Linked DNA regions of Drosophila melanogaster. The protein of the gene in region 1 purifies or fractionates together with the protein of each later gene. This does not show direct contact. Each region holds a gene or a part of one and is shown on either strand. Other genes may lie near its edges.

Region 1 (10,321 bases):
AGAATCGGGGCCCGTCCTTCAGGGAATTTACTACGATTTCGAAGGCGTTATGAGTACTTGGAGCCCAGGTAAAATGCAGGAAACTGATAACCATTACATAACCAAAGTTTTATTCATTAAAAGGCTGCTTTGTCCATCTCGTGGGCCAGTTTATTGGCGAAAATCGCTTGAAAACATTTAAGATTGACCAGGTAAGCGACATTGACTGGCAACAGCAATTTCTGCGCATTGAAAATGTTACCTCGTATATTTTATTGCAAAACACTATGCAAAAGTAATTTATTTTTTAAGGATACAGTTTTCTTGAGATTTTTAGGCCAGGCGATAGTGTACTTTTCACAAGGTATAAATATGCTAGCCTAAGCTTTTCGATCCTGGCCTCCAATCAACAGTGAAATGTTTCATTTTGTACTTTTGTAGTTTACAAATCATGAATAATTTATAGAGTTAGTAACTTATAATTAATATACCTAGGAAATAAGTTAGCTTCAAAATGCCCCCTGACGATTCTCTCCAGGAGCATTGCACAGTTTCAAGGACTACAACAAATACAAATTCCGAAGTGGGCGTATAAAGTCTAATACTGGTGAACTTATTGAACTAATTGGAAGGAAATGGGTATTCAGTTCTACGAGTACAAGTCGAAGTACATGAAGACCGTGACCAGAAATCCGCAGAACAGGGCGCACAAGTAGCCCAAGTGCATCGAGGCAGTCTTCTCCTCGCGGAAACTGCAAATTGAAGTAAAGACTCCATGTTATAATGAATAATTAAAGGTGATTTCCCCAGAGCTTACCGTTTCTTGGAACGCGGCGTAAAGGGCGAGGGGGGATTTACGCCGGGCACCGCGCTGTCCAAGTACACGATTCCGTACGCGAAAGCTGCCACTAGAAGGCCACACAGCAGGGGACTCAGCCTGGAGCCCAGCTGGTGCCTGGTGGCCCACACCAAGGTCTCGTTCCACCTACTCTGCACCTGGTGGCTCAGCACCTGGATGGAATCGCCCGTGATGTATGGCACTGCAAAGAGAACGCCCAAAGCTCGTTAGTATCTCATTTTGAGTGTCGTTCTATTGATTTCACTGTTATCAGTCCTAGCGTGATAAACACGTCAAAATGTTGGGTTTATAACTAGGGTGGTTCAAATTTATTAGTCAGATATGTACGCTATGAGGGAATCAAAGCAATTTGGCTAAATGGAAAGAATTAGTGGGCAAAGAAATTTGCAAAAATGTACAGAAACCCCATTCGTTACACCATAAATAGCAAGGTTGCGCTTTTTATAGATTTGGACCGATGGGAAAGATTGGAAATAAATATTCGTTTGTATTGGTTTAATTATTTCTTTTCTCGACAATGTATAAAATTTGTTTTCTGCTTATATCAAATTTATATGTTTGAATTATTTAACAAATAGTTGATTAAACATGTGTTTTTTCTTTGAGCTTTGTTAAACTTTATTAAATTTTTTGTCGCACTTTTTTTGGAGCCACCCTAATGCAAAACCTGCAGCAAATAAAGATTGCTATATCGTCAGAAATGTAAAATTCGTTATTTTCCTGGGCCTTCTAGCGGTACCTTCTAATGTTTATATTACATACATTAGAATATACATGTATGTGTCGCGTGACGAAAGCCCAGTGCTAAATACCGTTAAGCTAAGCGTAGATGAATAACTAATAGCCGCTGGGCAAACAATTAACTAACTAATGGCATTTTGCCTCAAAGATGAAGCAACTAATCACTCTTTGACGATTTTTCTAAGGTCTTCAGTACGTTTGTATGCAAATGAGACGGCTAATGCGCATCAAACAATTTGCCTTCCTTATATAGACGTTTTTTCGCTATTCGGCGGCTTATGCAGGGGGAACAAACACCACCGCTATGAGATCACACGAACTTCAACTATTTATAAACGCGAGAATATAAACAAAGTGCGAGTAAAGACGACGCAACCGACAATTGCAACCTTGAATTCCCACCCCCGCCACACCGGGGATATACAGAAATAAACAAATGGAAATCCAATAAACCCACAATATATTTACGTTTAGCCCCCAGCTTGGCACACTTACTCGTTAAGATGACGCTTTTGTAGCCAATGATAAGAGTCCCAAAGAGAAGGGCCACCTTTTTGATCAGCGGATCGAGGGCGGTCACCACTCCCACTCGCCCCTTTTCCGAGGGTTTAGCAACACCTACGTAGTGCTCAAGTTTCGGATGCGAGGTCTTCGGCGTGGAGGTGTAGATCCGTCCGTTCGGTTGCCCGTTTTTTTTACTTCTGACTGCCGTTGAGAAAATCCCATTGGTTTTGTTTTTCTCCTGCTGGCGATGCGTGACGTCACAGCCGACTTCGGCTGGTTCCACCTGCATTTCGTGGTTTTGCCGGCGTAAGCTTTGTTTGGAATTAGTTTTCGTTGTTCGAACTGCGCGGCAAAACAACAATCAGTGTCTATTTAACTCGACAATTGTTTGGTTTATTTCACAATAGCACAAAAACAACAAGAAAAACGTCACACCCCCGAAAAAAAACAACGCAGAAAATGCAATTGGAACTAGTGATGGGAGAGTTGATGTTGCACCGTGAACTATCGACGGCCTCTTATCGATAGTTCATTTGTTATCAATATTCAAATTAGTTTTAGCCCTCCTAAGAGCGACTTTGAAATTGAAAAGAAAAAAGTTAGAAACAAAAATTATATTTTAGCCATTTTTTAAACTTACTTTATATTAAAAAAGTACAACATTTTAATAATTTAAACTAAAAGCCCATTTTCGATATCCATTTTAACATTTAAATAATAATCATACGTTTATTTGTAATTTAAAAACCATAATAATTGTTTAATGTACATGTTTTATAGTTTAATGTGTGTATTCATTTTATTTTTATCTTTGTAGTTTTCTTTCCAATTCTTACGCTTTTAGGTTTTCTTTTTGAATGCATTTTGAATGCATACTTGTTGAATTTAACGAGACAATTGTATGTATTATGATGATGTTACATTAACTAAAAATTAACTGCGATCATAGAAAAGTTAATTTTAATTACTTAATAAGGCTCTGTTTACGTTTTCATTACTTTACTTCGTACTTTAACTTATGCGCGATATACTTTCCTTTTTTTATTCGATATACAATAGTCTAAGAATAATGGTAAAATCAATCAATAAATCAAACACTATAAAAGAACAGGATAAAACATTTTAAATGATAAATAATTACTTTTACAGAGTTGCGGTTAACAGATTTTTCGACACTTTTTTCGTTTTTCTTTTTTTGATGTTTGTGTTTTTGGTGTATCTCACAAAATTGATATAGTACATACTGAATGCGAAACTGAACAATCCGAATTCTGGGTGCTTAGTTGTGAGTTGCATGGTGTGGATAAAGGTAGTGTCGGTTTAACAACTATCGTGGTCTTTCCTACGTCTTAAATATTTAGTTAACTTAGGCGCCTAGACTAAACATAACTAAACTAACAAGTATGCGCTCTCTCCACCTCCAATCTGCGCCATCCCAGCCCCTATGATTTGGCTGAAGCGGCTCCTGCGCGCGTTCGTTTGGCCATGGGCTCCGTAGTGTCAGCCGCTCGTATGTTGTCGAACAGATTGTTCTCCTGAAATCAAATTTCACACACTAGTTAGATTCATTCTCAGTATTTTCCAAGGACCTCACTCACCTGCGGATTTTCATCATCCATGATTGACTGTTCCGCCGGTCTCTTTGGAGCCACTGCTGCTCGCGACGTTGTCATTGCTGTTGCGGCAGCTTTGCTCGTGGATTTGGCTCCCAGCGTATACACGTCCAGCGGTATATAGACGTCATTGTTTTGGAAATTCGCAACGGCAGGCTCTTTATAATACATTTCTGGCAAAGCCAGCGGCATGGAAAAGGTGCTCGTGTTGCCATCAAATGGACTGAACTTGGAGTCGATAATGTACATGGCAAGATCGCAGAGCGCCCACATTTTCTGATAACCGAAAAATATATGTATAAATATAATTTAGAAGGGAAAGCCTGGGAAAATGATTGAGTGACATACATAGTTGTCGCGCTTGTCCGACCCCAGACTGAACTCGCGATGCTTTATCAGCTGCAGCAGCTGCTTGTAGAAGCTATGGACAAACGTTTCTCGTTTGGCCATCAGCGGCTCCAGAATGAAACGCAGGCACTTCTCCATCTTGCGCAGCTGTACGTAGTCCTCGTGATTCGTGAAGCGTGGATCGTGGACCAGCACGGGAATAGCGAAAGCCAGCATGTAGTCAGGTAGTATGTGTAATGATTGTGACTCCGTTGAGCTGTCGGGAGCTGGAATAATTTGATTTAATGGTTAAAATACACAATATGATTCCAAAAGTAAAACACCTACATGTCATAGCCACAGTCTTGAGATATTCCCGCCGTTTGTTTACATCCGTTTCTGCATAGTGACGCACAAGGTCTTGCAATCTGTTGAAAATATTTATCAATACTTCTCCGAACGGATCGGATGGTTTCTTGAACTACTCACTTCCTCTCAGTCTCTAGACCAGCCAGCACATACAAGCCCATGAAGTCCAGCGGCAAACAGTTCCTGGGCAAACTTCTGCTTAATCCTTTGTGCAGCTTGCGAGCAAAGATTTCCCGAACTTCTGGCACCGGATCAGCCTACGGGAACACCGAGATAGACATTGAGACTAAGTTCTAAGCACAAGATGAATGTCTCTACTCACCATCAGCTGGGAAAGCTGCAAATACTGCTCAGCGCTGTACTGATCACCTACGCCCTTTTGTTCGCACACTTTGAGCATGGCGCAGGCTGCCCCGAGGCGCAGCCAAGATTTCTCGGCACCGCAAAGACGGTTCTGGCCGAGCAAATCGCCTCGTTGGTTAACAAACGCCGCCAGCATTCGGAATGTTTTCTGGGCAGCGTGCTCATCGGTACGCAATCCCAAAAGCCACCTGGCCATAGCCTTGAGCGCATCCAGCTTACATAGAGTGTCCGGCGGTAGTTTCTCTTGGGCACACCAATCACTGTCCTCTGGCAGTTCGTAGTCTCGCTGCGCAGGAACTTCTTGGATAAGCAGCTCTTTGACAATTCGTCGCGCAATCATATTCTTAATGGGCGTTAGGAAGGCCTGTGGCATATTGTAGGCAATGTGACCCAAGGTCACAATCTTTGTGCGCTGATGCTCACAGTTTGGTGTCAGTTTTAGGCGAAGCGTCTCGATGATCTCGTTGAAAATAGGATGCACTGTTTGTGTAGTTGTGGACGCACTTCCAGCTCCACTTGTTGCTCCATCAGTGGAAGCCGACGACTGGCTGTTTACGAAAATACATCGCACCGCGTGCTTTGCTTGCTTGGGGGTTCCAATAAGTGCGAAGTCCTTGCACACCGGAGCCAGCTCGTCGAGAATAGCCGGTGTAGGGTCGTCAATGAGTGGCTGATAGCGCCCCAGATGAGTTAGTGTCTTTAGCACCAGTGGTGCAACATAATCCTGCTCGTAACTGAGCAGGGAAATTAAATGACGCAGCGAAGTATCGGTGAAGAAATGAGCCGAAAAGACGTATGAAAGCATCTGCAAGTATAAAGCAATCAAATGGATTTCTGTATCATAACTTAAATTATCTCTATACTCACGGCCAACAACTTGAGTCCGCGCTCGCCCGCTTCCTGAGCCGAAATTCCGATCTCTTCACACATGGACCCTTTCTCGATGCATTGTTCAATTAGGCTGAGCAAAAAGATTACCGGATTAAGTCTGGCAAAAGGGCACTTAAAAGCAATTTACCTAATAAGTACGCCAATAGACTCCTTGTCCACCATCACTGATGCCACGCGCTCAATCAGCATCTTAACTGTGTTGTAATACAGATTCGATTGGACGTGGGCGCCAAGCTTTTTCAGGAGAACTCCCATCGTGTCAGCACACTCCCGACAGCTTACGTCGCGTTTAAGGACAATGTTAATGCATCGTAGGAGCTGAGCATCTTTTCGCAGGTTGTTGCTAAACTGGGTTAGGTACTCTGCCGCTTTTAGGGGATCTGGAAGCAGTCTGAAGAAAAAAAAACACATCACTGGTTACAAACTATCAAAAGAAAACTTATTATAGAACCCACTTGGCAATGTTGGCCTGCTTGGCGCTGAGCTGACTAAGTACGCGCGGCGTGAACTCCTTAGAGTGGTGTAGCTTGATCCAATCACTGACCGTATTGCGTGTCTTCATTTGGTTCTTCTGCAGCTCGACGAAAGCCTTGGTGGCATTGGCATCGAGATCGCCTAGCAAATGATATAGCTTCTTCATGCGCTCTTCCGGAGCTAGTTTATAGGGAACCAGGCAGGTGATAAGTAGGCGTTCCACAAGCAGGCGGTCCTCCAAGCCCACTTTGTAGTATCCATGTAGTATCTTGTTCTTAATCCAGTCAACCCTGACCTTAAGGCCAGTGCTTAGATCGTTGGGTTCGCAAATTGCGCGCTTGTAGATGTAGGCCAGACCATTCATCGCATCCCTGCGAATTTTGTACTTCTTATCTAGCGTCCGCTCGCGCACAATTTCTAGTAGATCGGGCGCTTCGAGAACGAGGGTGAAGTCGCGCTTGGCAGTTTCCACAATAGCCATTACCACCTCGTGGCGGACCACTTCGTCAAGATCGTGATTTCGAAGCCGCAATTTCTCGGTGATATCGTGCTGAAGACTTGGGTGATTGAGCAGGAAGTGCATGGATGACTGAACACACTTGATGCGAACTGGTTCGGTGATGTCGCAGAAGCGCCCAAAGAAGATTTTCAACAGGTTGGGGTACTTTTTCGCTAGTTGCGAGTCCTTTTCGGAGAACATACGAGACAAGAGAGTGGTTGCCTCTGTAGTAACGAAAATATGTTTATTAATATGCAAATAGAGGTACATGCTGATAAATTACTCACTTAGCCTCTCAGCATCGTCCGTGGACAGCAGTTTGTTCTCCAGCTGAGGTAGCACTGAACACAACAAGCCTGCATTGATGCGGTTAAGCTCGTAAATGATATCATAGATTTTGTTTGTAATGGACAGTTTTGTGTTTGGCTTATCCATGACCAGAGCACGGTTAAAGAACTGTAGATCAGGGATTAGGTTGAATAACGTGGTGCACCAAAGATCAACGAAATATTACCATTTTGATGGTGGACTCGAGAGCATCGCCCGTTTTAGTGAGAAGTTGTTCTGTTAATTGGCAGGCAAACTTGTTGTTAGATTTGTACGGCTCTACGATGTTAATCAGAATGAGATCCAACAATTCCACCGACAGATTGTCGGCTTCTGTGATCAACGGGCTTAGCACATCTAGAAAAAAGTTAGTCACCTTGACACTGTGCTGGTCACTAGAAAATTATATAACATGTGATTATAAAGAGTTCGCAGGATAAAGGAAGAGCTCGACTTACTTGACAATCTTGAAGATGGTACTAAACAGGTCTTGGAAGATTTCTTGGCAGTCCTCCAGTTCGAAACACATATTAAAAGACTTGACAAAAGCAAGGTTCTCCAGCAGATAGAAGTAACGCTTGAAAGAGGGATCGCGCGGATCCTTCAGACCGTGCAGTTGCTTGATAAAAAACTTAAATATAGTTTTGATTTGATCTTGCTCTTTGTAGGGAGCCTCTGGCGCATAAACCCGCAGGACATCCGCCACGCAGCACGCGATTAAGAGCTGGACATCACGGGATGGATGTTGCATAAAGAAGTCGTCCAGCAGATGGAGGGCCAATGGTATGTATTGCTGGTAGAGATTGTCGTCCTGGTCCATGGTCTGCAGAACATTGGCGAGGGTCTGTAAAACAGAATCATTCTAAGTGAGAAGTTTTGCTAAGGGAACCAGGGGCAGGACTCACCTTGAGGCGCCTTATCAGCTCGTCTGTGCCCAAATCCTCGACCAGCGGCCGGCATCCGGTGGGGTACACTATGTCCGCCATCCTCACCGCCAATGGGAGCTACCTGCAAGCCAGGATTTCAAGGATTCAGTGGCAGGTGCAACAATTCCGTGCGACAGCAACAACAACGAATGCGACCCTCAAAATAACATTGAAAAAGTGGAGGAGGGTGGCATCACGAACACACAAGCACGAAGCTCCACACAAGCACACACACACATGGGCAGCAGCACCACAAGCACACAGAGTGGCCAATATTGTTTGGTTATTTCTTTTTCGCAAACAACAAATAGAGAGCGCCCAAATTGTAGCGCCCTTGCCACTGCAATTTACCCAATGTTTTATATTAAACTGCGGCGCAGTTTTTGGAACTCGGAATCTTACTTTTCACAACGGGCAGGAAGCGGCACAATTTTTTTGCAATTTTGCGAACCCCTGCTTTCGATGACCGCTTAGCGCGCGTCTCCTTCGAATCACTGCACTATGGATGGGATTGATCCTGTCCAGCTATTTACACATGTTCGGTTACAAGAGTCTTTTGCGGTGCTTATGTTGTTAAAAATAAGCAAAAACCAAGGAGCATTTATGTGGAGTGGCACGCCATTAATCCACGCACGAAGCGTTGCCAGAGGTTTTTTGGAAGTGTGGCCAGACTCTTCGCAGATTAGTACATGATTGCATTTCAGCTGATTAGCATTGACGTGTTGTTGGTGCTAGCGAGGAGAGCGGAAGGGGTCGTGTCACGAAATCGGATATATAATCGGAATGAAATCGGGATATAAATAACTTATTAAACTGTATTTATAAATTTACTTAAGAACAACATTTGAGTATCATGTTTGTTTTGCTTTGAGCATTCAGTTAGTGCTAATCACGCGCTCACCTCTAATTTTGTTTGTTGTGCTTGGCAAACAGCTGTAGCGTTGCCACATAGCCGTCGCGGCGCAAGAAGTGCAAACATAGGATAAAGATAATTGCACAATTATTGGCACCTGGAGCCGGCAAACGCTGTAACGGAATTGCCCGCGTTCAAAAGCCAATGGCGCGCATTGGCGAAACATCGGAGGAATGTGGTAATGGACGCAACACAACGTTCCGGCCGTTCTAGATGTTTTGCTTTCTAATCCAATTAAGCGTGTGCGCCCTGAAAGCGATGATGCGGGCCGGTTGTGGTCAGATGTGCGCCGTCCGTTGCAGCAGCTCTACATTCCCGAAAATATGAGCATTCTTACGTAAATATTGCATGGGCAGTGCGTATTTAAATATAGATTGTACATATAGAGACGCAATGTAAGCCAGTTGCATTTGCCAGAGGACAACCGAAAGTATTAATCAAGCAATCCAAACCGATGCGGCATAGCCGGGATTATGGCTTCCTTGCGCGTCGTCAATAGGTGGGTCATAGTTGACGTTACTTTTGTTAACCGAAACTATTTAATCCTTCCATAATCCCCGAAAGAAACAGATTAGTGTGCCGCGGTTTTGTGGCTCTTACGTTGCTGCTGGTCTTCTTCAACGAGTTTATAGTTTACTACATGGCCCAGTCCAGTTGGCAGCCAATCGATTGCAAACTAGGTAAGCCGTAACACAGTTTTTGAGTCGCATCATAACAAGCTATTTTTCCCACATAGATAATTGCACGCGCCTGCTGCTTATTGCTGATCCCCAGATACTGGGAAACTCCTACGATCGATCTTCGCACAGTCCTTTAGCCAGGTACGATTCGGATAGATACCTGGCGAAGACTTTCGAGCGAGCTCTTGCCTTTACACAGCCTCACATCATAGTGTTCCTGGGCGATCTGTTGGACGAAGGCAACATTGCCACGGCTCAAGAGTACAAGCAGTACGTTCAGCGGTTCAGACGAATTTATCAGAATAAGAACTACAAAAAAGTAAGGAGTACTGCTTTTGCTTCACCTTAAATTGTTGTTGCACCTATAATTATTTCAATTTAAAGTTTTTCCAAAGCGATTATACAACTTTGCGAATGGGATTGACCCCTTAAAACCTAACAGTTCCGCATGATCTCTGCCTTTTTTCAGCGCGTCCATGTGCCGGGTGACAATGATATTGGCGGCGAGAATGGCGACTACATATCCAACTCGAACCAAAGACGCTTTGAGAACGAATTCATGAGTGAAGACCTCTTTGACTATGACAATCGATTACGCTTCTTCAAGATAAACCGCATGCTATTGGACTTTAGCAACCCGGATAGGGATAACAATGCGGATCGTCTAAGAATTGGCGTATCCCATGCCCCGCTGCTCATTGGCGGAGGACCCCTGTTGAGAGCCATCATCAGCGACTTGGATCCACATATCATTTTCTCAGGACACTGGCATGAATCCAGAATATTTATTTACCCCTCCACCAAGGTGATCAACTTTTATGAAAACTCCGTGAGGCATTTTGACTTGAAGGCCCTC
Region 2 (7,431 bases), 7.3 Mb from region 1:
AAACACCATGAAAATTGTTAGCGACATTTTTAATAAAACCGAGAAACGGGAAATAGTATCTTTGGAGCACAACAGAACGCATGGGGAAGCTCAGGAGAATGTAAAACAAATTCTTCAATACGGCTTTTTTCCTAAGGGAGGTAGGAAAATTAACGGCTAGTTTTGTAGCTAACTGCTTGGTTTGTCAAGAAGCCCATAACAACCGCCATCCGCAAAATCAAAGCCTTGGGAAGGCTTGTAGGCGATACATGTAGGCGATACATAGCACATTGATATATTTTCCACGGACAGGAAGTACTTTTTGATATCTATCGATAAACTTTCCAAATTCGCTATTGTGCTATTGCCATTGGCTAACGAACGATAACTGATTTAGAACCTGCAATTATTCAATTAATGAACTTCTATCCCCATTCAAAGACAATATTTTGTAACAATGAATCGTCGATTAAATCCGAGTTAATCAAGTCACTTTTATCAAATCGTTTCAATGTTGAGATAGAGAACGCACCACCATTCATAGTACGTCAAACGGACAGGTAGAAAGGTTTCACAGCACGCTTTTGGAAATATCTTGATGCCTGAACCTTGAAATGAATGCCTACAGTCAACCTAATTATTTAGGCAACCACCAATAAAAGACCATTCGACATTATTCATTCAACTCCTCCCGAACTGGCAAACAAAATAGTAGAAATGGTTAATGAAGCTCAGGAAAAACAGCTAAGGTAGGAAAAACCGTCTTGGTAAAACAAAACAATCCCTTGGGAAACAAAGTTACCCCACGGTATACGGAAAAAATATTCGAAGCAGACCTCTGGACAGCAATCCTCATAAAAGGAAGGGTCGTTCATAAAGATAATTTACGCTAGCTTTACTTTTAAAGTGTTCCTTTTGTGACCATCGCCAAGTTAGCAATATACACACATGACATGAAACTAGAAACAGAGTTGGTAAAAGTTTTTCAAATAAACATTTCTTAAGTCCTACGACTTATTTAACCTTTAAACCATTTTTAATATTTTATAATCATTCATTCATGTCAGTCTCTTTAGAACAGTTCAAAGTATGCGATGAAATGCTAAACTAAAAAAAAAAACTATAAATCCACGCAACCAGAAATATTTCCCTGAAATACCATCAAAAGCGAAAACAAAACGGCATAGTCTCAGTAAACTGCACTCACCCTAATTAGATTTGAATTCCTGATAAAAAAAAATACTTATGCTATCAATACCCTTCTCTGATTCTGTTCAACTAAATAACAAGGTCAATGCGTGCAATCAACAAGCGTTTTACTAAAATCACTGAAAGAAATGTATTATTTATTATTATTACTTGATTATTGTCAAAACTGTGACTTAAAACTGTAACTACCTCCTAAGTACCTCAGTAACCTTTCAGCTAACCCATGACAAGGAGAATCAAGAGGGTTAAAGAAATACACGGATCATCCAGATGATCAAAGCTGGCATTCCTTTGATGGTTTAAACCAGTACCAAGTTGGCAAAAAATCGGAATATATTGACAAGATTTGTCACCAATAAAAACTCTGTGGACAGCCTTCGTCTTATGAAAAAGAAAATATAGTCGTAAGCCTAGCTCAATAGTATTGTGAAGTTATAGGGCAAGCTTTAGAGATAACGAAATTGCTGTATTTAGTCGATTTTAGTATGTTCCTGTTTTTTCACATATTTTTAATTTTTTAAATTTCTATCGATTTGCCAAAAACTTTTTGCCACGCCCACTCTAACGCCCTAAAGCTGTCAAACCGGTCAACCACACACTTTAGAGCAATTTAAAAAACATTTCTCATTTTATTCCCCAATATTAATTGGGGAATGCATTCAAGCTTTCGCTGCATCAATTTCGCTGCATCAATATTAATTGGGGAATGCATTCAAGCTTTCGCTGCATCTTTGTCTCTAGAATTTGAATGCTGAATATCAACCTTCTAGTTCATATATTTCCTCCAATCTCGACGTTCATACGGACAGAGTGATATGACTAGATCGAATCGGCTATTGATCCTGATCAAGGATATACATATATACTTAATATAGACGGAAACGCTTTATTCTGCCTGTAACATACTTTTCAACGGATCTAGTATACCCCTTTACTCTAAGAGTAACGGGTAAAAATATTTGTAAACATAAGTGTCAATTAATCGAACTAATTAATAATAGGTCTTAAAGTTTCATAAATATTCTCTAGCTTTAACAGAGTATTTGAACTTACCTGAGTCAAAGTTAGGAGATTCACTATCGTCTAATATTTCAATTATGTGATCCATGTTTCGAATAAATTGTTGATATGTTTGCGAACGGGTGACTTCCTCCTTCACACACTTTGTGTTCGAAAGAGGTGTAATTCTTTCGACCCGACGCATTTTAGGCTTTGAAACTATAATATAATTTTGATCAATTAATTTTTGTATAAGGAAATTATTACTCATTACTTACATATTTGTTCCGGTGGGATGTCACCAATTGATATGGCAAGTTTTCTTTTCGCGGATCGTTTTTCATCGGCTTTTATAGTAGAAAATGTATCAATAGGGATTTTGACTGTATTATTTGTACTGGAAGCACGACTCTCTAATACACATTCTTCCGCACTCGTGGGTATAATATTCAAGTTTTCATGTTGCTGCTGGCACGTTTCTTGTAGTAACCCCATGCTTCTAGCCAATTCTGGTGACTTTTGTACAAACTTTTTAATACTCTGTTGCATAAGGCGAGAATCCTCAATACTAAGGCGATTTATACATACCCGGACCTGGGACTTGCCACTTGAGGAAGTAGATGTCGATGTAGTTGTTGATACATTTTGGTTCGTTTGGTACGTTGAACTTTTATTAATAATATGTAAGCTGGTATTTTCTAACACCTGTTGTCGATTTAAAATGCTGACGTCAAGAATTTGTGATTTTTTTTTTTTTAAATATTCAATTGAAGAGTGGTGTGCTTGAGTTGGTTCTGATTCAGTGAAAGGTGGACTTTGTACATATAACATGTTTGGGATATTTACAGAATTTAAATTAAAATTTGACGGCTCTTGGGGAAAAGTATCAGAAATATTTTGAATTTGACCAACATTTGTTGATACTTGGTTTAAATCATGTTTTAAATTATAATTGGCTTCTTGTTGCTGAATAAAAAACTGTTCTTGTATTGATTGCACCGTACTTCTTTCTGGTGTGTTAGACTTTTTTTTTAGAGTATTTTGTGAAAGTATCTTAGTCACATTTAAATCTGAATTTTCAATAACGTCAATTTTATCTTTTTCTGTTGCATTTTCCTTAAAATTTATTTGTGAAAATTCTTCTAAGATTTCTTTTGAGGTCATACTAAAACAGAAAAATGCATTAAATATAAGGCTTGTAGAATAATAAAATATATACGCCACCTAGTAAGCTGATTGAAGCAGGCTTGAGCGTCTTGCAATTGATGTTCATTTGAAATCGACAAATTTGTTGGTGATGCATAACATTCCGGTATTGAATAGGAATCAATTTGCATTTTCTTTGCCTCTAATCGAGCATTAGCAGTATGTTGGTCCGGAGAGTCTGTGGATGAAATTCATGTAATACACAAATGGTTGCTTTTATTATTAAAACATACGTATTTTTATGGAAGTGTTAAAAACCGCTGGGCGAAAATGATATATTCCCTGGAGAAGCTCAGGATAAGTACTACAGTTAGTTGCTGTGTCTTGAACTGGGCAATGTATTAACTCTCTAAAATACAAGTTATTTTAATAAAGCAAAACATACAATCAATTAAACAACTAACATATTATCGGAGTTTGTTCTCTCAATGGCAGTTACCAATTGTCGAACTAGATTTTCGTTTCGCATAGAAAGTAAATTGCTAGACTCGTTAGCTACCAAAGCATGGAACAATAAAGATTTATTTAAGGACGCAGCACTCTGGAGCGAATCCGCCACTGGTAGCTCGCTTAGCACTTGCATTTAAACGAGAAAAATATTAAAAGTTTTTAAACTTGTACATACACATTATATTTTCTTGCACAGAAAATACTTACAATCAGAAGTGCTGGTTAAACCAGCTAATGTTGTTACAGGTACGGTTGGGTTGTCACGTTCCCCCATATTAAATGTAAGGATAATCCGATAGATTACAACACAACTTTGATTCTAGGAGCTAAAAAAAATAAATCTATTATTCATTACGCTACAACCAAACATTATTTCATCAACATGATAAACAATGTAATTGGAAACAATGTTTATATGAATATATTAAAATATATGGATGTTGTCCAGCTGTATTATAAGTCACTTTATGTACTATCTTATCTTTTTAGTTTATAAATTAAAAATCTATTAGATAAATCCCTTTAAATTGATTTATAATAAACAACTACTTACGTAGTTAAAAAAATTGCGGTAGCATTACCATTTACCGTTATGTTATTGCGATCAACAATTATTAACGAATTGCCACAGTTCAATATAAACGAATTACTCCGGTTCTCCTTTGCGTTTTAATTAAATACCAACTTATACATTTACAATAATAAGTACTTGTAATTTTTTAGTTTGCGAAATAGTGTTTGAAGAATATGGCCGACCTGTAGGATAGTGTGGCCGCGCTAAACTTAATAAAAAAATACCTTTTCAGACCGAAACGTTAATACTTCATATATAATACTCCTTTCCAGACTATGTAGTTACACACCAACTCAATAAAACGTAGAGAGCTTGGATGTTTGAAAGATATTTCTAAAAGAAAAATGTTTTATTGCAATTTAGGGCATTACCGACTTGAAGCTACTTCTCCTGTCCCGATACTTATTTCAATAAATGTTAACAGTGAAAACGAGTCGATAAAAAGGTCTTCATTAGGAAATGCCGTTCAAAACGGCAAAACAACCGATATCGCATAATCTCTTTTTCCATATGAAATGCGTATGCTTACAAGATATGAATATTCAAGGATGTGCAATTGTATGCGAATAAATCGATTTTGTTTTAGTTCATTTCTTCCAGATCATGGATCTTGGGAAAACAAATTATTGATATATGATATATGATTACCTTACCTTTTTGTGCAATTATACGTAAAATTATTTTCTACAGGCTTAAAACAAATTTGCGTCTTGGTAAAGTCAATTGTCCTTCTCATACATGAGAAATATTTTGTGAATTAATAATTCAACGATTGAAGAACAATTGGCAATAAATGTGGAGCTCGTAGCCGGTACCTGCAGAGCTCGATCAATCGAATTATAGTCGAAAAGCGCCACATAGCGTCGTTTTATTGAGCATGTTTGCTCACTTACTAAAAACTTACCTTACATTGAGTGTGCGAGAGTGTGAAAAAAATTGGCCTAAAAAAATTGCTTACAAAGCGCGCACATACCGGTTCACAAAGGGAGACTAAATGAGTCGGTAGGCGGATTCGGCGGAGGTGGGCACCCAATTTACGGCCACCAAATATAAATGCATAATCAGCCTTTCCACGCTTACCAAAGGCTTAGGGCATACTCAACGTATATATCGTATATGCATACGTATTCTTTTTCTCTCCCCTGCTGCAAAACAGCAATACTGTGAGGGGTCTTAAAACTCACAATAAGTCCAGGAGAACAGAGCAGAAAGCAGTAATGCGGGAGGAGTCAGGTCAAACGCTGAAGATTGGACCTTGGACCCCGGTAAAGCGGAGAGACCGGCCAAGGGCACAGAGGTCGAACGGTAAAGGTGTTTACTGGACACGTGGACCTTGGACTCTAGCGAGCCGTGCGTAACGGGAAAATAAAACAGCCTATAGACGGCAGCAGCGCCTCTGGACCAGGCAGCTAAAGCATGTAGTGAGTAATAAGTGCACGAGGGTAGTCGAGCAGTGTATGGGCGGGAGTCTCAAAGTCAGGACGCGGACGCGTGGGTCCGTCAAGTGAAAACACAATTCAGGAGCAAAGTTCAGTGTGGGAACAGAAATTTTCTTAAACTAGACCCAGTTGGTATTATTGTTTGTAATAGAGCTGGAAAACCATCGATGGAACTATCGATACTATCGATGGTTTTAAGTATCGGTGTGAGATTTCTTCCGCAAAATCACCCGCAAAATGACATTCGGTGCGAATCGTGGCGACCCTTTCGCATCGATCCGTCCAGGGCGCGTTTAGCTTTCTCGGCATTGGGATGATAGTCGACCTTTAGGAATTTAAAGTTCTTATCCAGGTTCGAGAAGATCTCGCTAATCGTATGGCTCGTATGGCTTGAACGTCTCGCGTAGCTCAGCGTCGGTGATGTCATTGGTCAGGTTGCCCACATAGAGACGATTTCGATGGGAGAACTTCGTCTCCGTGGGCACTTCCACTGTTTCCAGTTCAAAGGTGGGCCCAGAAATCCTGCGAAACCGATGTTAAATGATGAAGTCTTCACAGCCGCGCGGACCACCATCTCCATCGCTACCACCACCCATATTGGTGCTGTTCATCGTGCCACCTGCACCTCCGCCAGGGCGTGGACCACGCTACTACCGACTACGGTTTCGGTTGTCTGCTGGTTCTGCGGGCTTCCGGAGAAACCGCCACCTTGATTGTTACCAGCATTGCGACCTCTGAATCCTTGACCACTTCCCTGAATTCCGGCTCCTCCTTGATTTCCTTGGCCTCCTTTATTGCCTGCTCCTCCTTGATTTCCTAATCCTCCTTGATTTCCTTGACCATGGACTTGATTTTGATTTTGGTTTTGTCCTTGCCGTTGATTTGGGCCCTTGTTGGCGTTCTGATTCGCTTGATTTTGGCCAGCAGCTGCAGTGGCCGGTTCATTGTTCTTAGCAAGTGCATTGGACCCGTCCGCCTTTGATGTTTCGTTATGGCGCTTTTGCTATATTTGTGTTATACATTTAAATAAATACAATATGCAATTGATATGTGAGCCACATCTGCAGTGCCGTCATTTCAATCCAGTTACACCATTTTAATACAAACTGAACTGATATAACATCGATTGAATCGGCTCTGCAGGCGTGCCCCCCTATTTAACTCCCCCCCCCCCCCAAATGTGAAGAATACCTAATATTTGTATACAATTAAGTGCCCGGGATAATCTAATCAACTTTATCGAATTTAGATAACTTACATTTGAATTGTTGATAGAGGGCCAGCATCACCGTCGACGATCGTGGCAAGCATATTGGCGAGGGCATAGTTGAGTTTGCCAAGAAGTCATCGGCCAGCGCCTGCCGGATGGATGTGCAATGAGAAGTGCTTCTTTCTGACTGCTTCCCTCAGACCGTGTCTGGTTGATCCGATGGAGGTGAACGACAACACAGAGAAGGAGTTCATCATCAAAAGATGCCCGACTTCAACCAGGATCGTAGCATTGGTCCGCGCTTCGCCGATCCCAATTCGTTTGAGCACGAGTTCGGGTCGCGATGGAAGCAGCTGGACAATTTG

Evidence for each region.
Region 2: the proteins of pds5 (region 1) and Nipped-B purify together in Drosophila melanogaster (affinity purification with western blotting, with the first as the bait; one study listed by BioGRID). This does not show direct contact.

Annotation. Positions count from the first base shown.
Region 1 is NT_033778.4:12,026,186-12,036,506, reverse strand, and holds pds5 (precocious dissociation of sisters 5), read right to left. Parts: upstream 8,523-10,321; 5' UTR 8,275-8,522; intron 8,213-8,274; exon of another isoform or gene 7,955-8,212; 5' UTR 7,933-7,954; coding exon 7,852-7,932; intron 7,791-7,851; coding exon 7,405-7,790; intron 7,342-7,404; coding exon 7,134-7,341; intron 7,076-7,133; coding exon 6,907-7,075; intron 6,844-6,906; coding exon 6,102-6,843; intron 6,038-6,101; coding exon 5,774-6,037; intron 5,717-5,773; coding exon 5,623-5,716; intron 5,561-5,622; coding exon 4,715-5,560; intron 4,650-4,714; coding exon 4,513-4,649; intron 4,452-4,512; coding exon 4,372-4,451; intron 4,311-4,371; coding exon 4,045-4,310; intron 3,973-4,044; coding exon 3,682-3,972; intron 3,619-3,681; coding exon 3,526-3,618; 3' UTR 2,782-3,525; downstream 1-2,781. Other genes in the region: CG43191 (uncharacterized protein), read left to right, coding at 1-68, 124-278; CG8321 (uncharacterized protein), read right to left, coding at 629-731, 797-1,019, 2,075-2,372; Mppe (metallophosphoesterase), read left to right, coding at 9,259-9,284, 9,350-9,465, 9,522-9,784, 9,908-10,321.
Region 2 is NT_033778.4:4,724,383-4,731,813, forward strand, and holds the start of Nipped-B (Nipped-B), read right to left. Parts: upstream 4,636-7,431; 5' UTR 4,397-4,635; intron 4,170-4,396; 5' UTR 4,118-4,169; coding exon 4,051-4,117; intron 3,970-4,050; coding exon 3,798-3,969; intron 3,743-3,797; coding exon 3,627-3,742; intron 3,572-3,626; coding exon 3,412-3,571; intron 3,353-3,411; coding exon 2,466-3,352; intron 2,407-2,465; coding exon 2,242-2,406; intron 1-2,241. UniProt on the Drosophila melanogaster protein: Plays a structural role in chromatin. Involved in sister chromatid cohesion, probably via an interaction with the cohesin complex.